Linked DNA regions of Mus musculus. The protein of the gene in region 1 interacts with the protein of each later gene in a pairwise test. Links are inferred from orthologs where the notes say so. Each region holds a gene or a part of one and is shown in the gene's direction. Other genes may lie near its edges. The genes, in order: Mtus2, Txn2, Cdkl3, Fchsd2, Fam110a, Ctsz and Cdk18.

Evidence for each region.
Region 2: the proteins of Mtus2 (region 1) and Txn2 interact in binary tests that used the Homo sapiens proteins (3 or more experiments, as listed by UniProt). The two-hybrid records come from large-scale screens. The link is inferred for Mus musculus from reciprocal best matches to the Homo sapiens genes MTUS2 and TXN2.
Region 3: the proteins of Mtus2 (region 1) and Cdkl3 interact in binary tests that used the Homo sapiens proteins (3 or more experiments, as listed by UniProt). The two-hybrid records come from large-scale screens. The link is inferred for Mus musculus from reciprocal best matches to the Homo sapiens genes MTUS2 and CDKL3.
Region 4: the proteins of Mtus2 (region 1) and Fchsd2 interact in binary tests that used the Homo sapiens proteins (3 or more experiments, as listed by UniProt). The two-hybrid records come from large-scale screens. The link is inferred for Mus musculus from reciprocal best matches to the Homo sapiens genes MTUS2 and FCHSD2.
Region 5: the proteins of Mtus2 (region 1) and Fam110a interact in binary tests that used the Homo sapiens proteins (3 or more experiments, as listed by UniProt). The link is inferred for Mus musculus from reciprocal best matches to the Homo sapiens genes MTUS2 and FAM110A.
Region 6: the proteins of Mtus2 (region 1) and Ctsz interact in binary tests that used the Homo sapiens proteins (3 or more experiments, as listed by UniProt). The two-hybrid records come from large-scale screens. The link is inferred for Mus musculus from reciprocal best matches to the Homo sapiens genes MTUS2 and CTSZ.
Region 7: the proteins of Mtus2 (region 1) and Cdk18 interact in binary tests that used the Homo sapiens proteins (3 or more experiments, as listed by UniProt). The two-hybrid records come from large-scale screens. The link is inferred for Mus musculus from reciprocal best matches to the Homo sapiens genes MTUS2 and CDK18.

The regions. Positions count from the first base shown.
Region 1 is NC_000071.6:147,956,099-147,960,119, forward strand, and holds the start of Mtus2 (microtubule-associated tumor suppressor candidate 2 homolog), read left to right. Parts: upstream 1-1,221; 5' UTR 1,222-1,623; exon of another isoform or gene 1,624-1,937; intron 1,938-4,021. UniProt on the Homo sapiens protein: Binds microtubules. Together with MAPRE1 may target the microtubule depolymerase KIF2C to the plus-end of microtubules. May regulate the dynamics of microtubules at their growing distal tip.
Region 2 is NC_000081.6:77,914,551-77,916,772, reverse strand, and holds the end of Txn2 (thioredoxin, mitochondrial precursor), read left to right. Parts: intron 1-915; coding exon 916-1,029; 3' UTR 1,030-1,722; downstream 1,723-2,222.
Region 3 is NC_000077.6:52,031,721-52,035,220, forward strand, and holds part of Cdkl3 (cyclin-dependent kinase-like 3), read left to right. Parts: intron 1-641; coding exon 642-804; intron 805-1,793; coding exon 1,794-1,891; intron 1,892-2,061; coding exon of another isoform or gene 2,062-2,082; exon of another isoform or gene 2,083-2,151; intron 2,152-3,500.
Region 4 is NC_000073.6:101,107,503-101,111,574, forward strand, and holds the start of Fchsd2 (F-BAR and double SH3 domains protein 2), read left to right. Parts: upstream 1-1,272; 5' UTR 1,273-1,516; coding exon 1,517-1,537; intron 1,538-3,236; coding exon 3,237-3,334; intron 3,335-4,072. UniProt on the Homo sapiens protein: Adapter protein that plays a role in endocytosis via clathrin-coated pits. Contributes to the internalization of cell surface receptors, such as integrin ITGB1 and transferrin receptor.
Region 5 is NC_000068.7:151,970,220-151,973,719, reverse strand, and holds part of Fam110a (protein FAM110A), read left to right. Parts: exon of another isoform or gene 1-110; intron 111-317; exon of another isoform or gene 318-421; intron 422-748; exon of another isoform or gene 749-877; intron 878-1,229; exon of another isoform or gene 1,230-1,276; coding exon of another isoform or gene 1,277-1,380; intron 1,381-2,795; coding exon of another isoform or gene 2,796-2,871; coding exon 2,872-3,500.
Region 6 is NC_000068.7:174,436,240-174,440,511, reverse strand, and holds the start of Ctsz (cathepsin Z preproprotein), read left to right. Parts: upstream 1-1,472; 5' UTR 1,473-1,613; coding exon 1,614-1,762; intron 1,763-2,183; coding exon 2,184-2,347; intron 2,348-4,272. UniProt on the Homo sapiens protein: Exhibits carboxy-monopeptidase as well as carboxy-dipeptidase activity. Capable of producing kinin potentiating peptides.
Region 7 is NC_000067.6:132,136,886-132,141,157, reverse strand, and holds the start of Cdk18 (cyclin-dependent kinase 18), read left to right. Parts: upstream 1-1,472; 5' UTR 1,473-1,748; intron 1,749-4,272. UniProt on the Homo sapiens protein: May play a role in signal transduction cascades in terminally differentiated cells.

The DNA.
Region 1 (4,021 bases):
AGTCCCTGGAGGAGTGGGAGTGGCCCGAGGAAGGAGCTGTAGCGCCAGGACCTCATTCCTTGCACCTGGGAGGCATGGGCTTCACAGAGCACCCAAATAGGAAAGTGAATGGCACAAAGGAGGCTTTACTATCTTTCTAGGTTTAAGTCAGGCTGGGGTTTGTGAGTTAGGGGAAGGGAGGGGCGAAGGCTTAAATGAAATGAGCTTAAAGTTTGATTTAGATTGGACTGGACTTTGTAATAACAGCCAGTCAGACCGCTTGTTAACACCCGAAGGTGACAGGAAAAGCGATAAAACGTGCCCTAGATTCCTCCAGAAGAAATGGGAGGCCACATAGAATAATGTAAAAAGACAGCCGTGTGAAAAGTGCTCTTTCATGATTTCCCTTCACAATATAGACCAGTTAGTACAAAAATTCAGCTGGTATAAAATGTTGCTCGGCACAGCAATGCTGGGGTGGGGGAGGGAGCCCATTTTCCCCACACTCCCGACCCCCAAGAGAAAGCGAGCAAGCACATCAGTAAGCCAGCATCTCATTGTCTTCTCTGTCAGTCTGTCCCAAATCTTGTGAGCCAGAGGCTGGAGAAGCCCCCCGGCTGTCTTCAGGCTTCCCAGGTGCGCTGCTTTCAGGCGACCTGGAAGGGCTACTGAGAAGTCCTGCGTTCATGTTTACTTCTGAGGAACGTTGTGAACTACGAAGCAGACAAGCTTGCGTTGAGACAAGAGTCTTTCAAGTGGGTAGCCGGCTATGCATTACCCCTAGATTTGGAGGCAGAGGCAAGAGGATATCTGTGAGTCTCAAGTGAGATCCTGCCTCAAACACCCCAACTCCCCCACCCCCACCCCCGCCAAACCCGCACACAATCACACACAAAACCCTTACAGAGACTTCTTTAGTCTCCTGTCCATCAGCCCCGCTACATCCCTTGCGAGTTCACCCGCTGGACCCCAATTCTTCCTGCTGCACGCAATTAAAAGAGGCTCTCTCTTCCGATTGGACCACAGCACATCCCACTCGTGGGAGTCAGGAGTCTAGGTCAGCGACCTCAGGCTGCTTCTCCTTTCTCTGGGGTCTGAGGCTGGATGCTCCGGACCACTGTGGTCCCGTGAGCTGCCGGGTCGTGTCGGGCCAGCAGAGGGCGCTCGGCTCCCCCCACGGGGCTCCGGACGAGAGGAGGCGCCGGGGCTCGCGAGCATCTCCGGGCGGCCGGGAGGGGGTGCGCGCCTCGGGCCGCTGCAGCCCGGCTTCTGTCACCGCGGACGGCACCTCACTGGAGGGTGGGCGGGAGCGGCGTCTTTGTCCGGCGAGGCGTCCTCAGCCCGGGCCATCCCTGTGATCAGAGCCCGGCGGCTTGGGCGGTGCCCAGTGGTGAAGTGCGCGGGCGGAGGGCTGGCTGCGGCCACGGCCCCAGGTACCCCGGTGCCCTAAGCTCGCCACCTGCGCCACCTCAGCCCGCGCTCTGTCAAGTTGCAGAAGACCCGGGTGGGTCAGGAGTCTGGACGCGTGGGCGCGTTGCAAACTCCAGCTGCGAAGGAGCTGCGTGCGGAGGTAGCCCGGCCCGGGATGCTCCCGGAGGCTGCTCTGGTCTCTCTGCACATCCTTCTTGGCTCCTCCAGACCCAGGTGAGCGACTGCTGTCCGCGCGTCCCGATCCGGCTGGAGACAGGTGCAGAGCGGGGCGGAGGCGGTGCCTTTTGCTGGCTTCTCTGGCATCAGAGAGCCCGCTCCCCGCTGCCCACATCTTCTGCTCCGCCGGAGAGAGGCTGCAACCCACTCGCACCTTCCGGGGATGTCAGGTTGAGCACGGTGTTTCAGAGGCGACAGCGGGTTAGCCTAAGCGAGCTCCCACCCCTCTCCACCCCCAGCTCGGGATAATTCGGTCCGTGTCTTCGTCTTAATTTAGCACCGATGTGTTATTTCCTTGGAGCCCTAGAATGGTAAGGCTTGCTCCATCCATTTTTCAACCCCCTTCATTCTGAGTCTGTGCAGGGAAAGGCTTGCAAGTGATGTTACTACCGTTCTATTTTAAATACAAACACCCAGAGAAGTACGCTTGGCGGCGTGCCAGAGGCGCCTGCACTCTTTTGTTATGTAAGTGCTTCACAGGAATATTTGCTGGTTGGTAAAGTTAGGAGCGGTTACCAGAGAACGTAAGAGCGCAGGAAGTCAGAGCCATAATTTCTGTCTTAGCTCAAAACTTTCCTTCAGGATAAGCATGAGATGGTTTTGGTATCATTTAAAGGCGACAGGAGGTCCTTTCAAAAGAAAAATTCATACCGTAGACTCTCAAGCGTTAAGACACAAAACAGGCTTTTTTTTTTTTTTTAAGTCTGTTATGAAAACCAGTGGGACGTCTCTGACAATAAATAGGTGGGAAGTGACTTAAAGAAATAGATCCCTGTCACATAGCCGTTTTGGCTTTTAAGTTGTTAGGTAGTTGTATTTTGCTGTCACGTGGACATAGCTAATCGTGTGTTGACAGTTATTAAAGATCTCTGCTCACACGTACCGTAATTTTTCAGGTACAAAGATGAGAGTGGAAAACATCAGATACGCATCTTGTTCTTACTGGTTTCTGGTGATGGCATTTGTTATGTGTGTGGCTCATGTGGAGTCAGGGTTGTGACTGTTGGTGGGCATCGTTTCGTGCTTCGTTTAGTCTCCAGCAGCATAAGGTGGGGCTCGGTGGGTTCGAGGTACCCCAGCCAGGCGTGTGACATATAGGGAGAGAAACTTGTGTTTGACTGGAGAGAAGCTAAAGATTTTAGCCCGGGTCTTTTTCATCTAAGTGATTTTCCTGCTTGTTTTCCTTGCAAAGAAAAGCTGTGTGTACCGGGGGTCCTTAGTACCACAGAGGGTACCCATGGGAGTCTTAGTTGGGGTATAGTGCATTGTGCAGAGGAAACCCTGAAAGTTCAGTAGTTTTGGGGAGAGGGAGTGCCTTCTTTTTGTTTGCATGATTTTTTTTTTAAAAAATTGTTTCACCAAGGATTATTTTTCTCACTGAATGGATGTTTTCATATACTATATAGGAGTGCAATCAGTCAATCAGGTGCACAAAAGCCTTTTTGGTAATTTTAAGGACAGAGGGAAAGCTGGCATCTTTTATAAGTCCACATTTCCACAGCTTGGGGCGGGCTTACAGAGGCTTTATGGGAGCTTATGTAAGAGCCACGACGGTGCTTTTGGTACTCGGTTAAACTCCCTGCTTTGGCTATTACATAATTGACATGGAACTAGGCTGTCAGAGCTGAAATCGTGAGGGAGAATGTATAAAAACCTAGGCTCATGTGGGATGCACACAACACACACACACACACACACACAGACACACACACACACAGACACACACACACACAGACACACACACACACAGACACACACACACACAGACACACACAAACACACACACACACACAGACACACACACACAGACACACACACACACACACACAGACACACACACACACACACAGACACACACAAACACACACACACACACAGACACACACACACACAGACACACACACACAGACACACACACACACACACAAACACACACACACACAGACACACACACACAGACACACACACAGACACACACACACAGACACACAGACACACAGACACACACACACACACACACACACACACAGACACACACACACACACACAAACACACACACACACACAGACACACACACACAGACACACACACAGACACACACACACAGACACACAGACACACACACACACACACACACACACACACACACACACACACACGGCTTTATAATGAATAGCTGCTGCCAAATTAGAGGGAGCAGCAGGGATGGTCGTTTGTGAACGGGAGATAAGAACTGTGTCAGGAGGATGGCTGGAATAGAAAACTGTTAGGTTTAACAATTTTCTAGAGACCTGAATGCTGGCTGAAACTACTGCAGCCCTTTCCATGCTGGCTATACAAAGAGGCTGGGAATCTTGGCCTTCTGGTCCCTCACCTGGACTTACTTTGGGAGGC
Region 2 (2,222 bases), on another chromosome or scaffold:
TTTATATGAGTACCCTGTAGCTGTCTTCAGACACACCAGAAGAGGGCATCGAATCCCATTACAGATGGTTGTGAGGCACTATGTGGTTGCTGGGAATTGAACTCAGGACCTCTGGAAGAGCAGACAGTGCTCTTAACCACTGAGCCATCTCTCCAGCCCCAGGATTTCAATATACGTGAAATCCTCACATACATTTCGTGTAATCTGTCTGAGTCTCCAGAGCTGTGGAAGCAGTACCTCACGGAGCAAGAGCGCCCCTTTCCCTCTGCCAGCCCGAATTAAAGCCTCTGATCACATAGGACTGTCCCCATCCACTCTGTGCATAACCGTTAGCTGTAGCCCACCAAGGTGGTCCTGGGCAGGTCAAGCTCCACCATACCCACAGTGTGCCCTGCGCCCTGTGCCATCCTAGCATGTGTCTCTTGGCATTCCTGTATTCAACTGAAAACATTGTCGGTGTCTCCACAAGCCGAGACTTGAGGTACTAAAGGGCTTACCAGGTTCCCCCGGGGTAGGAGTGAGGTTGGGCCGCCCAGTCCTGGAGCTGGCATCCCCGACCCCTGAGCTCTGTCTCAAGCATTCAAGGTAAACCATGCATGGCCAGGACCCAGAAAGAGGCCGTGAGGCGCTCGGGAAGCAGCCTGGCCCACAGCACACACACACACACACACACACACACACACACACACACACACACACACACCACTGGACCAGCGAGTCGGTCCTATGGTCCAGGGAAGAGGAGGATGCTGGGAACTTGCAGTAGAAGAAGCTCTAATGGATGGGTCTCCTCCAAGCAAAGACCCCACTTCCTTTGGCCCTTCCTGTGACCTTGGCCTTCTCCACAGAGGCTTAGGGAAGATACACAAGAGACAGTCAACTCCAAGTGATTGACCCTGTGATTCCCTCACCCAGGTGTCAGCTGTGCCTACCGTGCTAGCCATCAAGAACGGGGACGTGGTGGACAAGTTTGTGGGGATCAAGGACGAGGACCAGCTAGAAGCCTTCCTGAAGAAGCTGATTGGCTGACGAGCAGAGAGGAGGCCTGACTACCCTTGCCTGCTGGAAGTCTGTTTTGGGGAGAAGCCTAGTAGAACTCCCAGCCCTCAGCTGTCATCCTTCCTGCCCTGCCCCTCTGTTTTATCCTGGTGGGTCTTGCCTGTGACAGCAGACCCTCCAAACCTAAGAGCCACCAGCACTTCAGAGCCAGCCCTCAGCCCGGGTGGCCTGGAGAGGGCCAGTGCTGCCACTGGTGTGGGGGTCATTCTTGTGCACCCCCTACTGTGTGCTCCTCTTGTGCACCTACTGTGTGCTTCTTCCGGGGCTTGTTGCCATTCCCCTAGATGCTGGAGAAAGCCTGGGCCAGCCTGTAGCCTGACCGCACTAGTGGTCGCCCAGTCCCCATCTCTGTGGCCCTCTGAAGCCCCAGCCCCCATGCATCAGCCTCTGGCACATTTCCTCTCCTGCCTCTGCTTGAAAAGGAAACCAGAAGCCGAACAAGTGAGAGTAATGTATAATTCTCTCATTTTTTTGTAGGTCTCTAATAAAGAACTTTATGTGGTCCTTCTACCTCTTGCTGTGAAGAACAGAGCCCACCCCATAGCCTAAATCTGTCCCTTCTATTCCTTGTCCCCTCCCTGAGTTAGCTGGGCCTTGGTTCTGGGTCCCTGAGCAGGAGGAGGAGCTGTGAACAAGTCAGACCAATAAAACCAGGTTTGCACTGCCACTGGCTGCTGTTCTGTGGGCACTGAGCACTTGGGATGGACGGGTATTCCCGGGCCCACCACTGTCCCCAGCTCCTCTTGGGTTCTTCACCCCTCTCATGATTTGTGTTCCCACTCTTCATGGCTCTTGGTCTGGGTGTGCCATCATAGACATCCTCTCTAAGGTCCAGAGGTGGTTGTGCTGTTTCCCAAAATGCAGACAAGGGCTTAAGGAGTGCAGCTGGGCTCTAGCCAAAGGGGTTGTCTCAGAGACCTGGATTCCCTCAGCCTTTTGGGACCTTCTGCCTGGACTGGTTTCTGGCCCCTCCTGGCTGGGTGGCACTTCTTCCCATGTATGCCCACAGGAAGGTCTAGTCTTTGGGACCGGACCCTCCACCCATCCTGTTCCCTCTCCAGCTCCCTTGTCTATAGAGTGCCAAGCTGCCCAACCAAGAAAGCCCAGCCCGTCGCTCTCCCAGGGGTAAGGGGACACTGTCACTTGATGATGCCTGTTTTCAG
Region 3 (3,500 bases), on another chromosome or scaffold:
TTGAACCCTGGTCCTTTGCAAGAGCAATAACTGCTCTTAACCACTGAGCTGTATCTGTACCATCTTATTCTTTATCTTAAATTGTTTACTAAGGTATGGCTTCCATCTTTACAAATCACAAGACGTGCTTTTCTCTTTCAAAAATATTTTCCTGGATTTAGATAGAGTTTCTAGGTAGTTAATAGATGGAGTTTCCTTACTCTGGAAGTACTAGCCATATCTTTCTCTTTTTCGCCCATCATTTCTTTACATAGTACAATCAGTTTATAACATTCAAGGCACAGCATTATTTATAATAGCATAAAGTTGAAACATCCGGGTAGGGGTGCTGCACACATTTAATCCCAGCATGCAGGAGGCAGAGGCAGGAAGACCTCTCTCTGTTAGGTTGAGGTCAGCTTGGCCCACAGAAGTGAGTTCTAGGAACAATCAGGGTGGTTACGTAGAGAAACCCTATCTTTAACAACAACAACAACAAAGTCAAGATTGTGGTTTTCTAAATCAAGAACAGTAAATGGACTAAAAACCTCACTTGGAAAATGTCCCTGGGAGTCTGGCTGCTTCAGTGTTAGTATTGCTCTGGTCTGCTGATTTGTGTGTCACCCACAGTTCTTCTTACTAACTGGTACTTGTTTGTCTAGGTCCAAACAGAGAAAGGTGCATTTAATGAGCGAACAGGTCAGAATGACCAAATATCGAGTGGGAACAAAAGAAAGCTGAATTTTCCCAAATGCGACAGGAAAGAATTCCATTTCCCTGAACTGCCATTCACAGTGCAGGCGAAGGAGATGAAAGGGATGGAAGGTATGTAGATGCTCGCTAAGGGGTGGGGCTGTTTGTGAGGACACTTACCGGGAGATCTTTGTAGAAGTAACCAGTTGCTTTGAAAAAGTAGGCGAAATAAAGAGTCAGACTTGTTTTGTTTTGTTTTGTTTAGGCAGGGTCTGTGTGTTTCCGGCTGTCCTGGAGCTCACTATATAAACCAGGCTGGCCTGAACTCTCAGATATCTGCCTGCTTCCTCCTTCAGAGTGAGTGCTGGGACTAAAGGTCTACTGTGCCCAACAAGGGTCAGACTTAATAATGATAATTGTAAAGAAAGGTAAAGACAACCAGAAATGGTAAATGTTCTGTTAGCTTAATGTTGAGATGTTGGAGCAGAATTTGAGGAAGACAAACTTACATAACGTTCCATACATAATGTGGGGAAAGCGCTTTTCTGCTCAGTTCCCGGAAGTGTTATAGATGATTTGGGCATGCAGGGATTTCATAGATTTTTTTTCTAAATGTAGAATTTATCATAACTTTATTATATCTTAAGGGCTAGTGAGATGGCTTAGCAGGTAAAGGCACTTGATGCCTTGATGGCCTGAGTTTGATCATGGGATTTACATTGTAGAAGGAGAGGACTGGCCCCATACCAGTAAACAAATAAATAATAAAGATACTGAAATAAAATTAAGCAAATACTTAAAAATAAAATTTATTGTTGTGAGCAAAAGTTTTTTCCTTTCCTTGGAAAACAGACACCTTATAAAAATGTGATACAATAGCAAGGTGTAAAATGTAGAATGTGCAACTTGAGGGTCCCTCAGTGAAAATAGAGACAAGCTCTTGTGAGATCACAAAATAAAATCATACTGTATCTTACAACTCACAGTTACTCAGTCCCTTGGAGGCTTGAGTTCAAAAGTGGGCTTAGGGGCTACTGGGATACCTACCTGAAGACCTGGAGAGGAAAATATAGTTTCAAGGAAGGGCCAACAAATTACATGTTTTTTTTTTCCCCCAAAAGTTAAACAGATAAAAGTGCTGAAGAGAGAATCAAAGAAAACAGATTCATCTAAAATACCAACTTTACTTAGTATGGACCCAAATCAAGAAAAACAAGAGGTAAACACTTTATAATCTTTATAGAATGTTGTTTTGTCTTTTAATGAGTGTTTAAATTTAGTTACTAGCAGAAATTTTTTAAAAATTAAAACTTTTATAATCTTTAAACTTTAGAAACAGGTCTGTTTTATCTTATTTTTATTTATGTATATTTTTGGCTTTTGATACAGAGTCTCACTATGTACCTCTGACTGGTCTGGAACTCACAGAGATATGCCTGCTTCTGCCTCCCCAGTGATGGGATTAAAGGCGTATAACACTATATCCAGTTATTTGTGTTCTTATAACCAAGTATTGAAAGATCCTAAACGTTAGTTTGTGTAGTAGTAAACACCATCCCTCCTTTGAATTTTCAGTGATTAGAACACACAGCATCCAGGACAGAGAGCAGCTGTGGTGTGTTCACCTTCCAGTGTTGCTCAGGTGACCCATGCCATGGGACAAGTAGTAGCTGACTGCCCTGGGCATAGCACCACTCACTGTGTTTGCCTCTGGCTTTTCCCTTCTGTGTTCTTCCAGATTACTGTCTGTCACTGTTCCCTAACTGTTGGCCTGTTTTCAAAAATGTCTGCTGCCAGTTCCAACCCCACTCACCACATCAGTTCCTGGATTTTATTCAGAAATCTTGCTGTCATCAACATTCATTTGAATGCATTCTCTTAAGGGAAGGAGACTAAACCAACACTCACTGAGTCCCAGCATGCATGTGGCCTCGGATTTCCTAATGAGGTCATCTGTGTGCATAACTTATACATTTTATTATTTCCTACTACGAATGAATATTTTAATTCATGATAAAGTTATTCCTGCTTTATTAAAGAAAATTGAGTAAATTAAAAATAAGGAACAGTGGAAGGTTGTGTAACTCAGTTGGTAATGTGCCGATTCAGCATACACAGGCCCTAGCTCCAGTAAACCAGGTGTACAGATCTCTAATCCCAGCACTTGGGAGGCAGAGGCAGAGGCAGAAGAGTTAAAAGTGAAAGGTCATCTTCAGTGATGTTGAGACCATCCTGGGCTATGAGACTTGGTCTCAGAGAAAACAAAAGCACGCACGCACACACGCACGCACGCACACACATATGTATGTATGTATGTGTGTGTGTATGTATAGATTTATCTGAAAACCTATAAGGCATTTCCATTGTGACATTTAGAGCTATAGTCTTGTTTTGGCAGTCCCAAGACTACTTGTGTGTGTCGCAATCTACTTTGCAGAACCAGAGCTGTTATTGACCAGGAAGGCCATTAAGGAAAGCCTTTTAGTTCATTTTAAGTCAAAAGATTCTTTAAGCTTGTGCATTTAAGAGATATACTCATGTCTGGGAAATCTGCATAGCATACCATTTGCAAATCTGTTGGCTCATTGGGTGAGATAGGGGTCTTGGGTTTGCAGAAAGCTTCGATGTGCCACTGTTTATCCTGCTATTCCATGAGAAGCCCAGAAACCCGAACCACATATGCGTGCAGGGGGAAAATGAATCAAAGCAGTTCTCTCAGATGCTTATGTGATGTGGTATTCCTGAAAAGGTAGCCTTGAAAAGAGTAACAGAAACCAATTGTAGTTATTAGAAGCAACCAGGAGCTGTCAGTGTTGCTTAGAGCTTAT
Region 4 (4,072 bases), on another chromosome or scaffold:
TCCTCCATGGCCCTTGCTGTCTCCCTATGGTTCTTAATCTCACCTAATCCTTTCCTCTGCCATGCTAGTGATGAACTCAGGGCCTCTCTGGCTGCTAGGCATGCGCCCTAACACCAAGCAAGATACCCCTCCTCACACTCAGCCCTTGGGATTCTAGGCATGCCATGTGACCTTGAGAATGGCTCCAATTCTCTGCGGACACCAGCCTTCCTATCTGTGATATGGGAGTGACCGATTCAAGAGATTTTCATTCTTTTCCTCAGTTGACTCCACGAGGTCTGGCTAAGTACTCTGGAATAGGGCATCCATTCCTTTGCCTGGCAATTTTAGGTTATTTCACCTGTCCTCCAATGGCATAGGTCTGGCACCTGCGGCTAGTTGTAAAAGGACTTGTTCATGCTAAATTTCTCAGTGCACGTTTAGCTGACTAGGAGGGAGGGTACGCTGAGGGACTGAGAGAAAGCAAAATCCCGAATCCTCTTAGGTACCTCCTTCCTTATTGCAAACAATCCCACTATGAGCCTAGCCCCCCTCGACTCCTGCCAAATTCCCACACAAACTGTGCAGCCGCAGATGCAGGCGGGAGGCGGGGGCGGCCTGTGCGCGTGCGTCGGAGCAGAGTCCTCTCCCTCCCACGTGCGCGCTCCCGGAGGAGTCGCGCGCCCCAGCGGGCTGGCGGGAAGGCGCGCGGGAAGCCCCCAGCTGCCTGCTCGGTGTGGGGGGAGGGAGGACGGGAAGCGTCCGGAACGTTCCATCGTCGGAGAGAACTGGGGTAGTTCTCGAGTCCCGTTCCCGTCCCCACCGTTCCCCTCGGCCGAACAATCCGTGAAGTTTCCCCCTTTCTCACACCGAGATCCGGAGCCCCGTGGCGCGGCCTGGCTAACCTCCCCCCCTCCACTCTGAAGCAGGCGGTGTGGCCGGGAGCGCATCCCCTCTGCAGCCGGAGCGGGGCGCTGTGGCGCGCGCCAGGGGCCGGAAATTCCCGCGGCCTGAGTGGTTGGCGGAGCTCTAACAGGGGAGCGTGGCGCCGCCTTCCTCCTTCCCGGGCCGGGCGGGGGCGTTGGGCACCGCGAGGGCCGGGCTGCCCGAGTGGGTGGGGGGCCGCCGCGTCAGCCAGCTGCAGCCGGGCCGCGGCAGGCGGCGAGCGCGGACGACGCGGCCGCTCCTCCTCAGCCGCCCGGCGAGCCGCGAGCCCCCCCCCCCCGGCGGCCCCCGCCCCCTGGCCGTCTCCGCCTCCTTCCCTCACACACCCCCCGGGCCGCCCGGGCCCCAGGCCTTCCCGGCGCTCCTCCTTCTCTCCACACTCGCTGCGACCCGGCTGCTCCTGCCGCTCGCCTGCCTCGCAGCCTCCGGGCCGATTCCTCTTCCTTCTCCTTCCCAGGCTCTCCTTTCACACACACACAAGCGCGCGCCCTGGCTTGCTGGGCCGCCCCATTTTCTCCAACCCTCCTCACCCTCACAGTCCTTTAAACGCCGCCGTCAGGGGTGGGCGGAGGATTGATGTCCCTTCAGCATCATGCAGCCGCCGCCGAGGAAGGTAAGGGCGCAGCTGGCGGGGGGCTTTGGAGATTTGGGGGGTGGCGGTGCGTACAAAGAACGCGGCTGGGGCGACCGCTGCGCCCCCTCCCCCTTCCCGCAAGGGACCGTGACCACTCTAGCTTCTTGGCTTGTCAGAGTTGCCGCCCGCCCCAAGCAGGGGGTCGCGTGTACGGGGTGTCTTTCTGACGGAGGGGCGGCCAGTGCTCCTCAGTACTAGGGAGGACACCTCCCTCCCCCCGAGACACTCGCTGGAGTTTTTTTTTTTTTTTTTTTTCTTTCGGGCATGCATGTGTGTGTCTGTCTGCATGGCAGTGCTGCCCAGAGCAAAGTGCATTCTCAGAGCTGTATGGGGGAGAGGCGGGGGAGCCCCTGCAGATTTGCAGAGCCTTGTGCGTGACGGATTGTTTAGTCTGCGCCAGGTTCGAGCCCTCCAGTCGCTTGTCGACACTCCACCCATTGGCAAATTCGCGGGGGGATTTGTTTCAAGTCTCGCCTCAAGATTTGGCCTTTTTTTCCCCCCACGGGGCTGCGGAAAAGAAGTTGGAACGGTCTCCGCCCTCCCACCCCAAGGGAAAGCAAATTAAGGATTGACGGGTCCTGCTTAACCCCCACCCCCCATCCCTTTTGCCCCGCCTCGGGCTAGGGGGCCAGGAAAACAGCAGAGCTTCCAGTACGAAATCCAGAACCTGGCGTTGCATGGTTTGAGCACTACGGTTGGGGTTTGGATGGCCTGGGTGGCAGTGACGGTGCTCTGGGGCTGCCAGCAACTCGGCTGCTCCCTTCTACACCTTTCCGCACTGCCAAGGCTGTGTCCTTGCCTTTTTAAATCTTTCAGATGGATACTAGGTATCTACTCTGAGCAGTGGGTAGAGACAGTTACATCCTTCCCTTGTGGGCAAACATTTGCCTTATGAGTAACTCATCATCTATGCTTCCCTTTCTTTTCTCTTCTTAATCTGATTTTTTTGCCCAGTTACTGATCCTCCCCCTTTCCCCCTGCACGTGTACCCCACCTCTCCATGTAGCTTTGCTCTGGTGGTCGGGATTCCACCACGATCACACACCAATTGAAATCCCAGGGTCCGGCCTGGCGAGGATGGCTCCAGCCAGCTGGCTTTGGCGGTTCTCTCTGTTTGAAGTGGGCTGCCACCCGGCCTGGCTTGCTGGGTTAGTTTAAAAGCCCTGCATATGCTGGAAGGTCACTTTTGCATTCTCCTTTGTGAGAAAGAGATTATGATTTGATGTGCTGTCAGAGTGGAGGGCATCATTCTGAGACTGTGTGCTTTCTTGCAGCCATTACGGAATATTTTATGTAGTTTATTCGTGAATATTATTTCATGATTGTGTACATTTTGGTCGCTAGGTATTAGGTACACTCATCTGTGCTCCCTGCTCCTGTGGTTAATGTCTGAATCTTTGGGAAGCAAGAGAAAGCAGAATGACAGTTTGCACCCCTTTAAACTGCAAATTTTTTTTTTGTATTTGTGAATTTTTATTCAGCCCCTGTCTTACATTCCCTGGCTAGTTTTTTTCATTAAACTTAGTTAAGTAATAAAATTGGATGGGAAATACGAACTTTTTGGTCTTTGGGGATAGGAAAACTAGAAGTATACATTCTAACAAATAGTGTCTTCTTTAAGTAATTTTTTTCCTTCAAATTGTAGTAAAAGCCTTCATAAATACATACTGTGTTTTAGGTGAAAGTTACACAAGAGCTGAGAAACATTCAAGGTGAGCAGATGACAAAACTTCAAGCCAAACATCAGGCAGAATGTGACTTACTTGAAGACATGAGGTAAGATTATAGTAGGAGCTGGAGAACTTCTGTATCTGCTGCCCAGAACCCTTGAGTGGCCAAGCCCTAGGATCTGATGATGGAATTTCCTTTTGGATTTCCTGCTTTCAGGCTGTAGAATTTCGACTCAGCTGGAAGTTAGAACAGGAACTAACACAGTTTAAATTCGACGTACACACACTGTAGAAAAATGAGGGCCTTAAGAGTCTTATCTGTTAGAGCTGGGCATGGTGGCTTATGCCTTTAATTCCAGCACTCGGGAGGCAGAGGCAGGCAGATTTCTGAGTTCCAGGCCAGCCTGGTCTACAAAGTGAGTTCCAGGACAGCCAGGGATACACAGAGAAACCCTGTCTCAAAAAAGAGTCTATCAGTTAGTTTGTAATCACTCAACTGGAAATTCTTACATCTTTTCACTGAGTTGCAAGTTATTTATTGGCTTTAACAATTCTAACATTTTAAAGCTGACACTTGTGGTTAGTGGTTAATATCTGGGATGAGCCAGTCACCCCAGATGAAGCTATACTAGCACTATTTGGCAAGTATTACTTTGTGTTTGAATGTGCAATTCAGTGAGAATGATATGTCATGTTTTAACTAAAGCTACCTATATTCATAACGGGAAACTCTGAATTTAATAGCTAAGGTCTTGCACTAACATTGTGAGAATGAATGTTATAACAGGGTAGTAAGATGGACATGGTGGCATGTATCTGGAATCCCAGTAATCCCAGTGCTCTG
Region 5 (3,500 bases), on another chromosome or scaffold:
AACAAAACTAGGGGCTTTCCCGGAGTCCTCCTGATCTACTTACTCCTTGGGAGCCTGAAGGGAGGGACGAAATCGGGCTACGGCACTGGAATAGACCAGAAAGGCTCAAGGTTGGTGCATTTGCGGTAGCATTTGGAAGCCCGTGGTGAAAAGAGACCTCAAAAGAGACGTTAAATCACACTAGGCGACCGGGATCCTAGCTTCCTCTTGAAGGGGCCCCTGTGACGTGCGTTGGTGCGGATCCGCTGGCTCATTGTGATCAGCTCTTACCAGCTGTCGCCTTTGTCCTAGCTGAGGCTTAGGTCTGCCCTTCTGGATCGGGCTTAGAGACCCTTGGCGGGGGCGGGGTCTACTCACTCCACAGTCAGAGCCTCAGTCTATGACAGTGCGTCTGGTTTCCGGAGCGCTGCCCATTTTCCAGGTGCTGCGAACCCGTTTGATCTTTCCAGCGGTGACCCGAAGGGACAGGGAGGCCTATTTTTAACTGTGTTTAGATAGGGGAACGGCCTGTTAAGAGCTGCCTCTTGTGCAAGGTGCAAGGCTGGTGGGAGAACAGGGACCCTGATGTCTACCTGGTGTCTGTCTACCAGGCTTGGGAACACTCATCTGTCCCCGCCCCCATTTCTATGTAGGGTTAGGTGGTGGGTATAAAAGCAAGGTGGTAGTAGGGGGGAGTTTCTGCCCTAGCCCTGCCCCTCTGACCTCCTTCCTCTTTCCTAGGTGATGTCGGGGAGTAGTGACTGCCTCAGCCACTACTAACGGGTTAGACTGGTTTGGGTGGCAGAGCAGATTGTGGGGGTTAGGGAGGTAGGGCAGAGTCTGGCTACCTAGACAGAGCTCTGTAGCAGTTCTGCTGGCTAGACCTTAACCGCCCAAGGTCAGTTGGGGGTCTGTTTGTATGGGGCTAGCCTTCCTTTTCTGCCCAACAGCCTTGGGAGACGCTCCCCTCCTCCCCAAAACTGTGCTGCGGTTTCTGTGGGGGCTGGGGGGAGCAGATGAAGGAACAGGTATATCCGTAGACGTAGGATGCTTGCCAAGTGAGTACTAGTTGTCTTTTAAAAATGCTGATGGCATTTGCTCACAGTTAAAAACCTAGAGAAAGCTTGTCCTGGGTTTGCCAGTCCTGGTGACACTCCACTCCTCACCCTGGACCCACCTGCCTGTGGTGGGCAGGGCCTCTCTCGTGCGCTGGGGTACTGGTTCTCAGCTGACCCCCACGGGCATTTTAGTTTAGGACACACTTGTGGAATATCTAGCATGTATTGAGAGCCACATCATGAAGCTGAGACTCAGTGAACAAAGCAGCCGAAACCTGTGCCCTCGTGGAGCTGACATTATAGGGGATTGGGGACAGCAAAGAAAGAAAGAGCCTTATCCACAGTAAGTTATATGGTACTAATGGATATAACGAGAAAAGAGAGATTGTGAGAAAAGAGAGATTGTGTGTGTGTGTGTGTGTGTGTGGTACGTGGAGAAGTGGTGTGACAGGAATTAGTGTGCTCAGGCTAGGCTTCATGGGAATCTGCCTTTTTAATCTCCGTTGGGACCTAAGGAAGGAAGTCACTCCCAGAGTCTCAGTTTTCCCAGCCATAAAATGGTAACAGTGGCTTCCAGGCTCTTGGAGGAGGTACAGGAGAGTAGCTCTGAGTGTCTGGCACACAGTGGGGATCCTTGTCTTGAGATGTCTGGTTGTTCCGGCCAGGCTATTACTGTGTTTGGGCACGCAGTCTGGTATAGCAGCTACCTGCCATGCAGCCGTGGAGAACTGGAAGCATGGCTGGTGTGATTCAGGAGCTAGTGACTAGATGCTAGATGCCGAGTGACCTCGCTCAACTGCTGGTGCCCTGGGGGACCTTCTCCCCTCCCCCCATTTGCAGACCAGGAGGTTTGGCATGTGGGCTTTACATTGTGCATATTTGAGGGGTCTGAGTGGTGGGGAAACTGGCACTTTCTGACCTTGTTTCCTTGGAAACAGAGATGGCTGGCCTGACTTGCTGGAATGGTCTAACACCTGACTCTTGGCTACCCACAGGGACCCTTGAGCACCTACAAGGGTCCTGCAGCCCATGGGGCAACTGTCATGGCAGGTGGTCAGCAGCACAGCACTGGGTGGGACATGCTCTGGATAGTTTCTTGCAACAGCAGAGCTCGGGGCTGATGTTTATGCCTGGATCTCTACAGGGCTTGGCCTTAGAGCCATGTCCTGGAAGTGCTAATCTGGACTCTACTAGGGTGGGGGTGGGGACTTTCTGCTCCCTCCTCCCTTGCAGCCTCTTGCTTTTGTGCCCCTTGTGGGTCCATCATGCCCAGGCAGGTGGTTGGCACTGCGCAGCTTCCTGCCTGGGCTAGTTGCGGGGTGTTGGTGGTATCTGGCTGTCTGTACAGTTCAGGTGGGATGTGGATGATGGTTTCTCAACCCCAACTGTCCAGTCGCTAGTACCCCCTCTCTCGGAAGAAGGGAATGGTTTAAGCAAGACCATTGCTTCCTTGAGCTTCAGTTTCCTAATCCCTAAATGGGGCTGTTGAGAGGACCCTGGGTCTTGAGCCTGTTTTGTTCTCTTTAAAGTGGACCTGACTTCTCTACCTCTTTCCTCTCCCTCAGCTGTGCGGGTCCCCGCCCACTACTGGAGGGAAATGGAGTGGGTGTGGCCACAAGCCTTCCAGTAGTACATTTTGCCTGGTGATTGGCTCTTTGCGAGGCAGGGGCGTGCCCTTTACCTTATAATAGCGCAGGCTTCGCCGCCAGTGAGCCTTTGTCTGAACGTGCTCAGCCAGTCTTCTTTCCTTGCTTGCAGCGGAGCCCGGTATCCTGCTGCCAACTTTGTGCCTGTATCTGTCTTCTCGCCACTGCCCTCGGGGTATGTAACGGCCATGCCTGTGGATACGCTGAGCCCCGGAGCCCCCGCCACTCCCGCCCTACCTTTTCGCCTGAGAACCAAGGTTCCCGGCTACCTGCTACCAAGGCCAGCAGACGGGGGAGCCAGGAAACCGAGTGCTGTGGAACGCCTGGAGGCTGATAAGGCTAAGTACGTCAAGAGCCTGCGTGTGGCCAACACCCGCCAAGAGCCGGTGCAGCCCCCGCTGGTCAGACAGCCCCTCTTCAGCCCTGGTCCTCGCGGCCCAGTGCTCACACCCAGTCGCCGAGTCCTGCCCTGTTCTGGCCGCCGGCCCCAACTGGACCTCGACATCCTTAGCAGCCTCATCAACTTGTGTGATAGTCCTGTGTCCCCATCTGAGGCCAGCCGAACACCTGGAAGGCCAGAAGGATCTGCCCACAAGGTCCCACCAGCCACCCCTCCTCGTCCGCCACCCAGTACTGTCGCGGTGCGCCGAGTGGACGTTCGTCCCTTGCCTGCTTCACCTGCTCGGCCCTATCCATCACCTGGCACCACTACCACTTCCAGCCCCGGCCGGCCCCCTGGCCTGCAGCGGTCCAAGTCGGACTTGAGTGAGCGCTTTTCCAGGGCAGCAGCCGATCTTGAGCGCTTTTTTAACTTCTG
Region 6 (4,272 bases), on another chromosome or scaffold:
GACTCATGCACACATATAACATATAGGCACACATAGACGACACATTATTTAAAGTGTATATTTTGTTAATTTTAAAACTCCACTCATTCATTTGCTCGTTATCTGTGCCAGGGATTGAACTTGGGACCGTGAGCACACTGAGTACACACTCTCCCGATAAACGCTGCTGCCCTATTGTGCTCTTCACTAGACCTTGCCTGTGGGATGCCATAGAATCGCCAAGACCAATTGTCCCCTTCCTGCGAGAGAGAGCCCATGTGGAACCCACGTGGGAGGCGACACTCCCCCAGAGTGGACCGAAGGGCTCTAAGGTCAATGCATGGTCACTACTGGGGAGAACTGGCTTAGGGAACTCAGGTCTCTGCCTGGGCCTTGGGAGGCCCTCATTCCTACCAGGCTACTTACCACCCAGCAGAAGGGAGAGGTTGCCATGACCCCCCAGGATGAAAGATTTCAACATACAGATGCCAGTGTTCATTTGCCTCCGTGACTACTTTATAGCAACAGGGAACAAAACTCTTGCGTTGTTAAGGGTAGCCCCAAGTTTGCTTCTGAGGTCTTGTTCTGCTCTCTGACAGGAGGTATCCAGCAGGCTTTTGAGTCTTGTTGGAATCCTGGGTGATCTGGAAAGGCAGGCAGCAAGACAGCCATTATGATTTCTGACTGCCCCTATCCACAGACAGAGGAATGGCTGTAGCCCCACTGGCCATCGCGCATCAGGAATCTCACACCCACCACCTGGAGAGAGCCTGAGATAAAACACCAGGGGATGTTTCTTACAGAAGAAGAGATAGCTTTGTGGCCTGGGACTGCTGACAATAGCTCACGGGGCACAGGGGGAAGGGGAAATTCTCCCATTACGAAACCTAGGCTGGCCAGGTCCCACTTCTTTCTCAGTTCCTCATCTTGGAAGAGTCTGGTTAGCAGGGACCCTTTCCAGAACCCCAGGGACTCACGATATATGTGCCAAGTGAAAAAAAAGAAAAAAAAGAAAAAAGAAAAGAGTAATCCTGGAAGGATCCTTCTCTGTGAAGGAGAGCTGTCTCTTCAGGAAAAGCCTGGGTCTTGGGGGGTGGAGAGGAGGGGCTCAGAAAGCCAGGCTAGAGTCCAATGCTGGGTATGACCCACACCTTCTTCCAGCCTCAGGATATCTCTGTGCGCTCCTAGGGAGACCTAACCTAATGGGACACTGCACCACACTCCAGAGCAGAGAAACAAAAGAATCTGGGCTGAGTGGGCCAATGGAAGCCTGCTGAGCCCTACCCTGCTCCAGGATGCCTGGGTCTCTGAATAGTAAACTTAAGTTTTGCTGTCAGTCCGTGTTATCACAATGGCTGGTGGCACTGTCAGGTCTGGGGTCTGGTTGTGTGACCCCAGGTTCTGCTGATCCGGTTGTTTGATTCCTAGTGAGGCAGATTATCTCCTGGGGGCTGCCGAGCGGGGCGGGGCGGGGGCAGGAGCAGCGGGGAAGGCCCCGCCCTCGGGGTGTGTCCAACTTGGGCGCCTCCTAAAGGACCGGGCGGGGCGTCCCGAGCGCGTGGGCCTGCGGGTCGGGTCAAGAGGTCGAAGGTGCTGCGCGTGATCCAGGATCCGAATTGGCCCGGAGCAGGAGCATGGCGTCGTCGGGGTCGGTGCAGCAGCTGCCCCTGGTGCTGCTGATGTTGCTGTTGGCGAGTGCGGCACGGGCCAGACTCTACTTCCGCTCGGGCCAGACTTGCTACCATCCCATTCGCGGGGACCAGCTGGCTCTGCTGGGGCGCAGGTGGGCGCGGGGCTGTGCCTAGGGAGGAAAAGGGTCAACTTCTAGGCCAGGCGCGCACCCCCTGACACTTGGGACCTTGCCCCATCCTCCCTCATTAGGCCTGGGAAGCACAAATCCCATCCCTTCCTTTTGGGATGATTTTCACATCCGGGGAGCTCTGGGGTTTGCTGGTTTGGGCAGTTCTCGCCTCTACTGCCTTTGTTAGTGAGCATTAGCGTATTTCGGAGATGCTCTGTCACATTCAGCTTCCAATAGTCCTGGGTTCTGCTGGTGGCTCTTCTGGGTCAAGTTCTGAACCGACCACAGTTTGGGAAGAAGGCCAACAGGAGAAATGACTGGATTTGTGGCCCTGGTGGGGGTAGGGAGAGGGGAGGCCCTATGCGTTCCAGAGTTGGTTTCCATTGCCATGATGTCCTCCCAGGACTTATCCTCGGCCGCATGAGTACCTGTCCCCAGCGGATCTCCCCAAGAATTGGGACTGGAGAAATGTGAACGGTGTCAACTATGCCAGCGTCACCAGGAACCAGCACATCCCACAGTACTGTGGTTCCTGCTGGGCCCACGGCAGCACCAGTGCCATGGCAGGTAGGTGGCCTGGCGCTCCATGCTAAGCCTAGGGCAGGGCCAGTATCTTGGCCAGGTGGGTGGCTGCACTTCACCATCCAATCTACCTTTAGGTGAGCCATGATAGCCATAGCCCGGGGCTACAGGGGCCCATGGCCCTGTACCATGATTCAGACTTGGATTTCCCCTCAGCCAGAGTGAGGTGGCTGTGTCATTCTGGAGTTCTCTCCTGTGGGCCTACTAGGGCCTCTGTGGGACAGGCTTGGGCTGGAATCTGGTGACAAGTGGCTCCCAGGAACCTTCCCTTCCTCAGAACTTGTGACTTCAGCCATTGAGAACCATGGGACCGGTGTTGCAAAATCACTGAGTTCACAGTTGGTTTGTGGGGCGTGGAAGTGAAACTGCTTCTCAGTAGCAGCTGGCATTTGAGGTGAACATGTTCCCCAGTACGAAATGGCCCCCCCAGCTCTCTTCTTCGAACCTTAGCCTGGCCGCCCAAGAGTCAAGTAGAAGTTCATTCAGTAGGAAGAGAGAGGCCCCAGAGGGCTGCTGTGCCCTTCCTTGGTAGAGGAAGCAGGAGCCAGGGAGTGCCAATCTACCTGTAGCATGGAGATTCAGCTTTGCCATCCCCAGAGGTGGTTCCTGGAAACCAATGGGGAAGGGAGTCTCCTGCCTGGGAGTGGGACTCAGCCAGTGTCCTCTCTTGATTGGGTATCTTTTTGGCCAAGTCTGTTGTAGGTGGAGCCTAGGTTGAGGATTAAGAAAATGAAATTTCATTACTGAAATGGCAGTGCTCTTGCCCGTAGGGCTTATGTAGGTCTTGCCTGCCAGTTGGCTCTCAGTGCCCAGCCTAGGAAGCCTCTTTCAGGTCGGGAGACTGCGTTGTGAGATGGATGGCAGCTTCAGTTCAGCCCATCAGCCTGGACTCTCTTTTGAGGATGAGGGGTTCCTGTCTGAGGGCAGTCTGTACCCCAGCAGTAGCCAGGGGCAGATGTAGCTGTGGCCCCTCATAGAGCCACCTCTGAGGGCTGGGGCATACTGCTGACTTTTCAGAAAGAGGAAGAAAGAAAGAAGGTGGGCTGACAAGAGGTACTTACCAAGCAGGCAGGGGGTAAGGAGTGGGCAGCCATAGCAGAGGAGTAGAGCAAAGTCCGGGGCGCTTAGGAATGGTGTGGCCAGACTGCTGTTGGGGAAGCGAAAGGCCCCTCTCAGCAGAGCATAGTGTGGGGTGAGTGTGACATGGAGTGGGAAAGATCCTTGGGTCTCTGGATCGAGTTAAACGAGGAGGGTGTAGAACATTGCAGGATCAGGAGAGATGGCCAGAGGCTGTTGGGCCTACCCCTCTTGGGTGGGCACTAGGCCCTACCGAGGTTGTATCTTCCCAGTTGCTACAAGGCAGTGTCCTTGGGGAAAATGGCTGCTTCGTTCTTTTCTTCTTCTTCTTCTTCTTCATTTTTTTTTTTTTTTTTTTTTGGTTTTTCGAGACAGGGTTTCTCTGTGTAGCCCTGGCTGTCCTGGAACTCACTTTGTAGACCAGGCTGGCCTTGAACTCAGAAATCCGCCTGCCTCTGCCTCCCGAGTGCTGGGATTAAAGGCGTGCGCCACCACGCCCGGCTCCGTTCTTCTTAAGTCCCCGACATCTTCGTCAGTAGCAGTCAGAGCCTTGCTTCCTCTTTCGATGAGTAGACATCAGAGAGGACTTCCGTGGGGCCCTGGCCATTTGCCAGGGACAGAGCAGGAGACTAGTATACCTTTCCCCGTCTCTGGGTTAAGGGGCGTGTGGGTTCTTTAATGAAGCGTTTGCCAATGGTTGATGCGGTTAAGCATCCAAGCGGCCTCTCCTTGACCAGTCACTTCTGATAGGTGACCAAGAGACCCTTGGTCCCACCCGTCTCTCACTGCCCTGTTGCTCCTGTTGGGTTAGCTGGAGCCAGCCCCATCCCCCG
Region 7 (4,272 bases), on another chromosome or scaffold:
GCCTAGAATTCATTGGGGAAACCAGGCTGATCTTGAACTTATAGTGATCCTCCTGCCTCTTCCTCCTGAGTGCAGGCCCTCCCCACCACGCCTAAGCCTAGGTTTTCCTAGTTACTCATGGAACAGGACAGGTATCCTCTGTCCCAAATCCAGAGGCTTGGCTGTAGGCACTCTTTGCAGCCCTTCAGCTTGTAGCAGCCACAGCTGCATAAAACACTCATTCCCAGAAAAATCTCCATGCCCTGGTAGGGAAGGTAGCAAAGAGCTGGTAGGCCCTTGTGGGATGTCAGCCACCCATAAGTCACTCTCATGTGGCTGTGACCTCAGGACTCTGTCTTTTAGAAGAAAACTGTCCTCTTTCCAACACCACATTCTCCTCAAAGCAGCCTTCTCAAGGGCACCCAGATTGCAGAAGCTATGTGCCATATCTGCTAAAAGAACAGAGGGCAAGGACCTCTTTGATGTAGTCCCGGCAGAGCACCGGAAGCAAGGATAAAAAGGCCCCAGCATAAGAAGGCTGACCCTCAGCCCACCCCAGCGTTTTTGTGGCGTGCTTTAAACAAACAAAAGGTTTATTTATATTTAGCTTGTGTGCACGCGCGAATTTCGCCCACAGCTGTGTGTATCTAACACATATGTTCTTGGCACCATGGATCAGAAGGTGTCAGATTCCCTAGAACTGGAGCTATAGACAGTTGTGAGCAGTCATGCGGGTGCTGGAAACGGAACCGGGGTCCTCTGCAAGAGCAGTAACTGCTCAGGACTGCTTAACCATCTCTCCAGCGCCCCTGGTGGTGGTTTTTGACCCCTGACGTTAGACAGTGTGGGAGAATGATGTTTGACCTGGGTTCTAAGCCTTGTAGGACTTTGGGCTTCTTCAGTCTCCTTTCTGAGACTTAGTTTCCCCTTGTGTAAACCGAGACCTGACTTAGCATTGCCTATCTGCAAAGCTTCTTAGTTGATTCACTTGGCCAAAAAGGACAGAGTTGTTCCTCTTCATAGTGGAAGAGGGATGCTATGTGGGAAGGAACTCTTCCTCCAGGCCATGGAGAGGCAGAGATGGGGGAAGGGATCAGGGAGATATTATCAGGTAAGTGACAATTTCACACTCCATAAAAGAGAGGAGAATAGGCGAGGCCCTGTGCCCTGAGATCGCACATTAGCTCTTAGGTGCTAGGCGCTGCCCCCACTACCCTCCCCCCACCCCCCGAAATTGGCACTCAGCAGGTTGGGTAGAGACAGAGACCTGTCCGGTGTGGTCCAGGCTAAAGGGCCTCACCCTGTACTTAGTTTAGGGCCAGCTTATGAGGGGAACAGGAAGAAGCACAGGCCTTAGTTCCCAGAGTGGGAGAAAGGGGTGGCCCTGGGACAGAGGGAGAGCAAGGGATTGGCAGTGACTGTGGGCAGGGCCGGTCCGGACAAAGGCGGAGTCAACTTGTACACGTGAAAAACTCTGGCTGGGGCCCGGCTTTTGCCTTCCTCCTCCTCTTACCCACCTTCCTGCACCCCTCCCTTCTCCCTTCTCCCGCAGCTCAGGTTACAGCTTCTTTGGGGGGAAAACCGCTCACCTTTCCAGGGCCAGGAAGAGCCAGGGTCCCGAGTAGGGACCCCGGCGGGGCGCGGGGCAGGGCACCTAAGCCTGGCAGCGCGGCCGCGGAGGGCGGGAGCCGGCTCGCCACGACCGGGACACGCGCAGAGTCCGCCGCGGCGGCCAGAGAGGGGCACCGCGCCGGGCAAGCTGAGCAAAGGTAAGCCGGGCGGTCCTTAAAGGGGCCGACTGCCTTTGCGCTGGAGATTTGGGCAGAATTCCCCAGCTGCCATAGGCGATGGGCGCTCGGCAGGCGCGCTTGCGTTTTATTTTTTTATTATTTATTTATTTTTTTGGTGTGTGTGTGGGGTGAAGGATGCCCTGGGAAAGCCACTCCCAAGTTCCAGGTGCTGAGGCAGAACGCGTGCCCCGCGGGGACTCTGGATCCCGGACTCCCTTTGGCCCTGACCTCCGTCGGAACCCTACAAACGCAAAAGTTCCCCTCCCAGGCACAAGCCAGACGCTAAGTGCTTTCCTTATGGGAAGGACAAGGGTCAGGAGTCCCGATAACGAAGGGATTCAGGAGAGTGTAGGGCCAGATTGCCACCTCGAAGAGCTTTCTGGGCTTTCGTGAACTTTCCAGCCCCACAGGCCATGGGTGGTAGGCCAGAGACCTGGGGAAAACTGAGGACAGGTGAAGCCCCGAGCGCTGGCTGCGTGGTGAGGAGAGTCGCTAGGGAACGTGTCTCTTCTCTTGGGCTAAGTCCAGAGAAGCAATGATCCTCCCCTCCTGTGGACAGCGGTTGATAGCGTGTGGGAAAGGAGGGTGGGTGGCTCGCTCTTCAAACGCATGGCTTGACTGCTCTGTTTGGAGGTCACAAACAGGACTCTGAAAATGGGGTGGGTCAGAGGCTCTGTTCCACGCGGTTGGGGGACAGGCCCCTGATGGCCTTGGGGTTGTTTTCCCTGTACTGAGGGGTCAGCACCCCTCTAGGCTCCAGCGGCCTCATATATTTCTCTTAAGCTTTCCCAGGAGCAGGGGTAGAATTGTGGGATAGGGGCAGTCCTCAGAACCTTCTGAGTTCTGGCTGCTGCCATCTGCCCCTCTTTGTCATCCCAGCTCGGCCTTGAGCAATCTTCCCCAGCCTACCCAGCTGTGTTGTGTGGCCTGGGCCCCGTGGGTCGCAAAGCCCCCACCCTATCAGATGTGAGATTCAATGGAGGCACATAGCCCACAGTGAGGCGGGGTAGGTGGGGATCCAAATCCTTGTGTCTCAAGAACGCATGTCTTTGTCATGCCTTGGGCCTGGGATAGCTTCTGGGGTGTGGCCAACAGGCAGCTATGCCTGTGGACTTGGGCTGCATCGGAGGCTCCCTCTGCCCCAGCTCCTGTCTCCAATCTCTGCAATGTGCCAAGCAAGGTGTCATAATAATGTTATGATAGTTCATGAGTGTTATGATCACTAATGCACTAGCCAAGGAACAGACTGGGGGAGGGGTGGGTGAGAGTGATGTAACGGGTTCAATCCGGTCTACATCTATCTGACCCCAAGCCCGGTCCCAACTCCTGCTCTTCCTGGGCTGGAATTCCCAGGGAGGACAGGGGTAGTTCTCTAAGTAATCAGGCTCCCCAGGCAGACCCAGGCTTTACCAGAGGGACAATAATCTGAGAAACAAGTGGATTCCTAGTCTGGGATTGTTCGGGGAGGGGATAGCTGCCCTGAGATCCAGAGGGAATGGGATTGTGTTTCTCTCCAAACCCTGTGTTCTCTGTCAGTTAATTGATCCTGCTCCCAGGGGAAGAGGCCGCTCTTCATAGGGAAAAAGCCTGGCTTGGGTCTTCTGACTCCTACCTCACTCTAGCCTTCTCTTCTGCCCCTCCTCCTCTTCCTCTTCCTCTTTCTCCTCCTCTCCCTTCTCTTCCTCCTCTCCCTCCTCCTCCTCCTCCTCTTCCTCCTCCTCCTCCTCCTCCTCCTCCTCCTCGTCTTCTTCCTCCTCCTCTCCTGATTCCATCTTTCCTTCTCTGAGTTTGGGACCTGAAGATGAGAAAGGATGGTCAAATCTAAGCCATTTCTAGAATCCTCCTATTGATTTTGTGGCTCCCAGCAAACTCTCGAACTTGCTCAGTGTTCTGTTTGGAGAGGGGCTCCTGGTAGGGAGGGCTGTTATTGTATAACACATGGAAGCCGAGGTGATCATGTGGTGGTGAGGCCTGGGAAAGGCGATGTCCTAGTCATACCCCGTGGCTGACTCTGGGGCGGAAGACCATGAAACCCCGGCAAGCCAAGGCCTTGGCTAGAAGTTTCCCCCCTTTTGGTTGGAGAGGAGAGTTCTCTATAAGAAATGGGTGGGTGGGTGGGCTGAATGGAAACATGTCAGGAAAGGCCAGCAGTCTGTGCCAGGTACTAAGCCTTCTGGGTACTGGTGGGTCAGGTAGGCTGCAGGACTTTGGCAGGACCCTGCGCCTGGGGTAAGAGGACCCTTTCCTGGGACTTAATTATTTGCAGTCCTTGTTCTGCTCTGCTGTCCACAAGGGACTGACTGGCTGAGTTCCAGGTCTACCTGCTTAGCTCCACTCCTTTGGGAATAAGTCACATTTCTTTCCCTGGGCTGTGTGTCCCCCAGTAACCCTTTCTCTCCTCTTCCCTGGACCCTTCACCTTCGCTCTCTAGGCATTCACTGCTGAGCTGGCACTTTCCCATCTCAGAGGGTAGGAACACACCAAGGTTAGCACTGGCTCCTAT